Linked DNA regions of Cricetulus griseus. The protein of the gene in region 1 interacts with the protein of each later gene in a pairwise test. Links are inferred from orthologs where the notes say so. Each region holds a gene or a part of one and is shown on either strand. Other genes may lie near its edges.

Region 1 (4,493 bases):
GGCCAGCCATGGAGGAGGGTGCCATGGGGCTAAGCTGGTGCGGGTGGTGATGAGAGTGCATGGGCGCTAAGTAGGAGCTGCAGTCTACACCGCCAAAGTAAGAAGAAGAGGGCGCGGGGTAGCCCTGGCCGTAGCTTCCGCCCTGGCCATAGGACATGGGGTAAGAGGCCGCAGCAGTGGCGGCACCTGCGGCTACCGAGCGTTGCATACAGGAGGCGTTGCTCGGTGCGCCCAGTGGCTCTGGCACGGACACGGATGGCGGTGCTGAGCCTGGCGAGATGGAGGCCGGGCTCCAGATGGACGAAGCAGTAGGCGTACTCAGAGAGGACGCGGCTGCCACCGGGTTCCCACCCAGGCCCGCGGCCGCAGCAGCCGCGGGATTGGCGGAGGCACTGGACGCTGAGCTAGACGAAGAGGCCGAGCTAGACACGGCAGGCGGCGTGAACTGGCCGCTACTCTCCGAGCCCGAGCTCTCGCGCACTGGAGACGACTTCTTCTTGACCGGCCGGCTTTTCGTTCCGTTCCCGCTCTGCTGCTGCTGGCGGCACTTGGCACGGCGGTTCTTGAACCAAACCTGCAGTGAGCAGGGTGAAGGAGAAGGGATCAGGGGGCTGGCTAGTGGAGCTCACAGCTCCTCCGCCCCTCGGACTCACACCCCGCCCAGGATCTCAGGGACCTCTCAATCCCAGCCTCTACCCCTCCCAGTCTCTGGCCCTGCCAGACCCTGTCCCCTCCCCCGCACGTGCTAGGTCCCCAGCTCTGGCTCCCTCCCCCATCCTTCTGCGCAAAGCCCCCAGTCAGCCTCCACCGCAGGAGGGATGCGCACCTCCCCAAGCCCAGCGCAACTCTGCCCAAGGGCGGAACGTTTGCGTCTGTCCAGCCAGAAGTTCAGCCATCTCTAAGCTGTTGCAGTTGGCTGCTTCCCCGCAGCCCCGTTTTAGTTTGGAGGCCCTGTTTTCCAAGAACAGAGCTCAGGAAACAGCGGAGAGTACAGAACATCGGAGAGTAGGGCAGTCACCAAGTCTGGGGCCCGAGGGGTTTCACCGAGTCGGCTCCTGGAGACTGGAGTTGGGCAGGGCAAATATTTGGGTGGGAACAGAAGCAAGGCTGGAGGCTGAACTGAACGGAAGCAGTACTCCAGTACTGGGATTCTCGTGAAGGAAGCCTGGGTGAGGTTTCCTTGGGCCTTTTGGCTCCAGGTGGGGTACCAAATGGAACGATAAGTCATAAATTCGCACTCCTTTTGGAGGGGCCCGGACACGGGGCATTGCATTCCCAGTCCCTTCTCGAGCCTTCAGGGAAAGAAGTTGAGACAAAAGACTCTCGAGGAAGAGTTTTAGACTAACTCAGAACTCCTATTTTCTGAACTGTTTCATTTTAGAAACAGTAAACCCAGCATCTGGATTTTGCACTCGGCCTCCACTCGGCTGGAGAAAACTCCAAACCATACCGACTCCACCCTCAGAGCACACTCCAAGGCAGATTGCGCTAGGCTGTGACCAAGTTCCATCTTGCACTTTTAGAATCCCCAGGACTCAAGGGAAGGGTAAGAAAGACAAGAGCGGAAGGAGAGCTAAGGCTCAGTAGGAAAACGCCAAATTCTGTTGTAGCCAGGAAGCAGGGGCCATTATCTAACCTTCTGGGAAAGTTACACCCGGGGGACACGGCTGGCCTTTCCAAAATCCAAAAACCGACTTTCAACAATGAAAGCGCCCTGGGGACAAGGGCTAGAGAGATGTTGGGCTCTAAGCCATTACTTTTTAAAATGTTACCCCCCTTTAGCTGACTGAAGCCCAGCACTAGGGGGAGTTAGAGAGGGGCTGTCCAGTCAGTGAATGGGCCCCAACACCAGATGGCCCAGGTCGGATCTTCCCCGACCGCTCCTAGCGCCCCTACCCTAATCCTAGAGTCCCAAAGACCACGCACCTGGACTCTGGACTCTGGCAGGTTGATCTTGAGCGCCACCTCCTCTCGCATGAAGATGTCCGGGTAGCGAGTCTTTGCGAAAAGGGCCTCCAACACGTCCAGCTGTGAACGCGTGAAGGTGGTGCGTTCCCGTCGCTGCTTCCGCGGGGTGGCTGTGGGGACATACAAGGGCACCTGGAGTCAGCAGTGGACCTCGAGGACTGGAGCTAGAGGCCACACGCAGGTCTTCTGGTAGGTCCAGAACCCTGCCATGGAAAGGAAAGGCCGACCTCCGCGCAAAAGCAAACTTCCCTGCCCACAGGTGGGGCAAAGTGTATAAATTGGGCTAGAGGCTCCTGTCTGAAAGAAACATCAGGGCCTCAGCCCTCCTTGTCTCTCAGATAAAAAACAAAGCCATCCCCTCCTCATCTCCCTAAGCCCACTTCTGGCTGAAAGGTAGGAAGTAGAACAGAGGTAGGTAGAAACAGGACCTGGGAAAGCTTTCCAAGTGAATAAATTCAAGCAAAGAAGTAGGATCCAGAAAATAAATTCGGGGTTCAGTTGGAGTCGTCTGCCACCACGGAAGAGCTGGGTCAGGTCCCTGGTCTCTAGGGCACTCTGACTAGGGAGAAAGAGCTCTGCTTCTCAAGGCAGCTAGACATAAGGGAAGTTTGGCTGTTTACATTAGGGCCTATCGAGTCCAGATTCCTCGTGAAATGTTTGGGCGGGCAAGATTTTATTTTTTTAAAAAAGCAACCGGTGGGAAATACGTCGGTGGACAAACATGCTTTCTCTAGCATGTGAGACCACAACAGGAGCAGGCACCACAAGCTCAAAAGTTGTAGGTCACAGTTTCTAAACTCAAACCGGAGAGCCTGTAGCAGATCTGGGCAACAGACACAGAGATAATCATATCCCTGGGCCTGTTTGGGGACTGTGTGGGCTCAAACGTTAAAAGCTGGAATCCCCCAATATTTGCACAGGCTTGGGGGTAGGGACATAGGGCCACCGCTCACCAGGATAGCCCACAGAGGGGTGTAGGAGGTCCATGGCAGGGCCAGCTAGGCCCAGCCCGTTCATGCCGTATGGGGGTTGTTTGAGGTAAGACATCATGCTAACTGCCGGGTGGAGGCGCCCCGACGGATCCAGGGGGCCTGGGGCCAGGAGCAGTTCAGGGCTCCCACTTCGAAGTCCTTCAAGCTGTTGCTTCTGGGGGCCTGGCCTAAGGAGACAGGAGACACATGGAAACCGTCACCCGCAGTCACTTTGGCTTTCAGTTCCTATAATCCTAGAATGGGGAGGGGGGCAGGCTAGGAACTTAACAGGGCAGGCAACCCAAGAAATTTCTCCTCCAAGCTCAGCAAGCCGGCTTCTTAGAAAAGTAAACTTTCCCCACATCGTTCCTTCCTCTTTTAGGGCTTGACAAGGGCCAAAGACACTCCTTGAGTGTCAACAGGAAAGAAAACTTAAAAGCGCGATCAGGCCGAGGAGGTGAGAGCCGGGACCGGGGAGGGTGCAAAATCCCAAGTGTAGTCTTTTTTTTTTAGTGCTGCGGAAGCAATTTGCTCAAGCAAATGTTCACTTGGCGCCGGGATGGCAGGCCGTACAGAGCGTACGTACCGGGTTATTTTGTTTAAGTTTCAAATGTTTTTGAAAGAGGGACAAAACCGCTGGCACTACAGAGGTCCAAGGTTAGTACCCCTTGGATCGCCCAGGCAACTGCCCATTTTGGTCACATCATTCCTTCAGAGATCTCCAGAGCAGCCCCCTCCCCCAGAGTCCCAATCACCATTCTATCTGACCTCTCTGGGCCCCTGACGCTAGGAGATGGGTGAACCGGAATTTCAACGCACTTCTAGGGTAGATGTGGCCCAGGCCCGGGTGAGGCGGCGAGAAGATGCCAAAGGCGCCACAGTAGAAGTGGCAGTTTCAAGAAGCCGCCCAAGGTCAGGGGTGCCTCAAAGACGGTCACCCGTCCTCCTAAGCCCACGCAGGCCCGACCTTCTTTCTACCAAGTCCGAGAGAGCACACCGAGTCCCACCAGGGTCTGATAAAGGATGACCAGCCCAGCGGCTCAAAGCATGCTGGGGAGTTCAGAAGCCAGAGCACCCTGGATCGCGTGGGCTCCTCGCCGTCCTCTCCTGAACTCGGTGGAGAGCAGAGAACTAGGCCTCAAGTCGGAAAGCTCCCGCACACCCAAGCTGGGAGCGCTAGGCTCGGCCGAAGACACTGCGAGCCCCTGGCGCTCTTCTCCAGCGGAAGAAGGGGTTCTGGGGGGGTAGGGCTGGGACCCGAGAGGGGGGCTTCTAGCTACACCCGGCTTTACAGGGAGCCCAGGGTGGGAACTCAGGGAAAAAGGAGGCAGGACTTAAGTAGCTTTCCCATCCCAACTCCAACCCCTGCTTCGGTCCTTGGGGTCCCGCGGCCTGGACTAAGGGAGACCAGCAGGCGCGGAAGGCGGACGGAACCACAAGGGAAACAGCGCACTTGGGCCGGAGAACCACAGGCCACCAGCCGCCGCGGTTCTGCGAAGGTGCTGCGTGAGTTTTCGAATACTTAGATCTAACTTAGCACCCCAGCTCCGCAGC
Region 2 (3,989 bases), on another chromosome or scaffold:
ATTTGTGGTCACAAGTCCCTCCCTCTTCACACCATGCCTTTGCTGGCAAGAGCGCTGTGGCTAAGGCTACCACTCTGACTCACAGTGCTCTGATTATACAACCAAAGGCAACAAACTCCTACGAGGAAGCATGTAATTAATAAAAAAAAATCCACTACATTTAACACTAGGTGCAATCGCATTGGCTATTCCCTTAATATTCCTGACTCTTGAGCCATCATGACCCTGTTGTTTATAGACAGGTGATCTTATAATTATGATCTTATTTTTACCCACATCCATAAGAAGCATGTACAGAAGAAAACATGACATAAGTAATTTTCTATTTTTTACCTTACCAACATTTTAATGTCAGTGTTGAGGGAGTTAATTTTGCTTATGGGATGTGTGCCTTACGTCAGTGATGGTTTTCAGAAATTTCTCCATGCCCAGTGGGCAAGTAGTACAGGTTGTCAGGTTTTTATGGGATGAAGCTTTGGCACATGCACTTACACTGGGTCTAGTATGGACCTACCAGGAGCAGCTACAGCAGCAGCACCAGCAGAAGCAGCAGGTGTTGTTGGGCCTCTGGTTTCCGGGTGCTTGAGACACAGCCTGTGTTCCTTCATTTTGGGATTGCTGCCTTTTTCTCATTTCAGCTGCTTCAGAAGCCAGCTGGCTAGAGGGAGACAGAAAATACAAGGTGTGAAAGGCCATCATAAAGGCAAGTGAAGGGAAACAAGATTAGACATGATTAACCAGAAATGAAAATCCCAAAACACTGGAATGATCTCTTCTCCGAATAAGCCCCAGGAGCTGGAGAGATGGCTCAGTGGTTAGGACCACTGGTTGCTTTTGCAGAGGATCCAGGTCAATTCCCAGCACCCACGAAGGGACTTGCAAGCAGCCTGCAACTCCAGTTCCAGGAGATCTGATGCCCTCTTCTGGCCCCTGCAGGCACTGCACACAGATGATGCACATACTCACATGCAGTCAAAACACTCATGCACATAAAATAAATAAATCCAAAACAGTATTTGGAAAAAAAAAACCTCCAGAAGAATTAAGTTATAGTATCAAGAAATAGATGAAAATGCAGTTAAAGACAAAAATAAAAGATTAAAGCTTAAAAGATTGGGCACAAACAGTGGGGAAACACAGAGGTCCCAGCACACACATAACAATTAGCCTGAGGAAAGAATTAATAGACTGTCAGGGATGTAATATTTTAAGGGGAGTTGGCTGGGAACTTCTCAGAAGAAAACAAAACAGAGACTCACAGTGAACGGACACACCACATGCTGAGCAGGATGAATAAGATAAAAAATAAACCCACACTTACACATACAGTAAGACACAGATTTACAAAGCCAAGGGGGGAATGTCGGATTAATATCAGAGAAATAACATTTTGATTGATAGAAGCTGTTAACAAGCATGGTAGTGGGGAGGAAAAATAATACTTCCATATGCTGAGAGAGAATGGACACTCGGGAATTTTATATTCAGCTAAGTGAAAACCCAGGAGTGGGGGTTATTTCTGACAGACTCCATATATTACTTAAGCCTGCTGGACTCTAGTCACAGGAAAATGAAATCAGAGTTAGAAGCCATGTCGTGTTAACAATTAAGCATTGAAATTGGTATATGACACCAGACTTCATGACTGGCTAAGATAGAGCCCACAGTTTCTCTGTTTAGAAAGAATCAGAACTAAATTTAAAGCTATGTAAACTAGAGAAAGGGGACACTGACCTTCCCTCCTATTGAAACTGATCTTGTAGACATCACAATGTCCCCATATCTTTTAATCCAAGAGACATACTTTCCCCCTATTTACTGAACCATGGTGGGTTGAATGTCAGACTGTCTCAGTAAAACTCACACTGAAGCTTAACTCCTCAACATGATGGCAGTAGGGTGATGAAAGCCCTAACAAGTCATTGGATCATGGTGGATCTACCCCTGTGAAAACAGGAATGAACTTCCAACAAGACTTAACTCCTCACATGAGAGGGTCATTTTACATCAGCTTGCCCCAGTCTACGGTTTCACATATGCCTGCTTGCTGTCTGTTTTCTGCCCTGTATTGACTTAGCATGTGGCCTACATCAGAAACTAAGCAGATGTTGGGGCTTTATCTTCAAAGTTCCCAGCCTCCAGAACTGCAAGGTCCAAAGCAAGCCTTTCTTTATACATCGCTGAGCTCTGGGTATTTCGTTATAGTGATGGAATAAATTTAGACACAGCAGGCTTATTGGTAGCATTCAGCATTAAAATGGACCAAATTACACCCCAGATCCATACATTAAATTCCTGTCCTGGTCCTTAGTGCAATGGTAATAAAAAGGTGAGGCTTTGGGGGTAATCAAATTAGGAGGACGGACTCCATGTGAGTAAAATTACTACCTTTATATAACAGACCCCAGGACAGTTTCCTGCCTTCTTCCATGTGAGGATACTAATAGGAGTCAGCAGTTCACCAGAACCTGGCCATACTGGACTCCAAAGGCTGATTCCCAGCCCACAAAACCACGATAAATACACCCCCCTTGTTTATAAACCACCAAGCCAATGGAAATTGGTTACAGCAGCCCACAATGAGTAAGACAGACACGGATGACTCTTGGGAGTACTATCCTTGCTTACTTTCCTGGGCACCACCCTCACTGATGTCCTTTCTATCTCCCCTGTCTCTTCCAGGCCAACATGGGTGTTTTCTTTTCATCTCCTTCACCTTCAAAATTAGGATCGCCACAATGATCTATCCTGCATTTGATTGTTTTTTTTTCTTTCTTTCTGACATCATTGATTCTTTAAAAAGTAGATCTACTAGGCTTCTACTAAAATAAAAACATCCTCAAAATATGATGCCCAATTGAGATTTTTTTTTTTTCCTTTCAGAATCCAGCCTGGTTGACATCTCTTTGTGGATTTCTCAACTTGGCACCTCAAATATAACAAGTCCTAATCTATTATCTTTTCCCAAACTTTATTTCTCCCAGTTTTCTTAATTTCAGTAAGTGAAACAGCCTGACATTCTAATCTTTCAGACCAACATTCTGTATTCCTCTCAGGCCCCTCTATTCTATCCTGACCCCTCATCAACAGATTGGCAAATGTGAGGCCTGTTAACTGGTCTCCTCGGTCCTCCCTCTGGCTCTGCCTCCTGGCTCTTCCCATTCCATCACAATTACTCCTAACAAGCAGCTCACTTTTCTTTAAAATACAGACAAGGGAGGATCAGGCCTTCCATGAGGGATCATCAAAGTCTGACCTGAGGAGTGGGTGGGGGGTAGGATGGGAGGATGGGAGGATGGGAGGAAGAGGGAACTGAAATTGGTATGTAAAATAAGATTGTTTTTAATTTAAATAAAAATTATTTTTTAAAAGAGGAAGAAAAACAGATCAATCATTTCTGCAGAGTCTTCCATTTGACCCTGCTCAAACAGCTCCCTGCATTTTCTCATCATACTGATGAGTGGAGCCAAAATTCTTGCCTTCATCATTTCTTTGACTAGTGCACATTTCTCCTCATCTTGTACTCTGATTAAATCGCTGACTTCCTGGCTATCCTCAGCCATGTCTGGTACCAACATGTGTGTTCAAGCCTTTATACTTCTTCCATCCTTGGGGCTCAACGCTTTCATGTCTTGACTCAAATATCACATTGTCTATGGACACATTCTATGACTGTTTTATTTACAGCTACAACTCATTCTGCTTCTATTGTGAACTGTCATCTTTTTCCCCTTAACTTTTCTTTCCGTGGGACATCATCACTGGATTACGATAAGTTTTACACATTTTTCTAACCAAGTAAAAAGTAAATTTAATGAGGATGGGGAATTTTTTTCCTGCCTTTCTTTTCAATGTTGTAATAATGTGTGGCATATGGGGGGTCGGGCATAAATATTTGTTAAGCTGGTGACGTTTACACATAGTCCTATTAATGACAAGGAAAGGACAATGAGGCCTTTTATATCCAACATTCAAAACTATCAATTTCC

The links. The genes of interacting proteins can lie anywhere in the genome.
Region 2: the proteins of Otx1 (region 1) and Rgs17 interact in binary tests that used the Homo sapiens proteins (3 or more experiments, as listed by UniProt). The two-hybrid records come from large-scale screens. The link is inferred for Cricetulus griseus from reciprocal best matches to the Homo sapiens genes OTX1 and RGS17.

The regions. Positions count from the first base shown.
Region 1 is NW_023276807.1:84,695,121-84,699,613, reverse strand, and holds the start of Otx1 (homeobox protein OTX1), read right to left. Parts: upstream 3,019-4,493; coding exon 2,922-3,018; intron 2,079-2,921; coding exon 1,927-2,078; intron 575-1,926; coding exon 1-574. UniProt on the Homo sapiens protein: Probably plays a role in the development of the brain and the sense organs. Can bind to the BCD target sequence (BTS): 5'-TCTAATCCC-3'.
Region 2 is NC_048595.1:283,334,079-283,338,067, forward strand, and holds part of Rgs17 (regulator of G-protein signaling 17), read right to left. Parts: intron 659-3,989; 5' UTR 634-658; coding exon 515-633; intron 1-514. UniProt on the Homo sapiens protein: Regulates G protein-coupled receptor signaling cascades, including signaling via muscarinic acetylcholine receptor CHRM2 and dopamine receptor DRD2.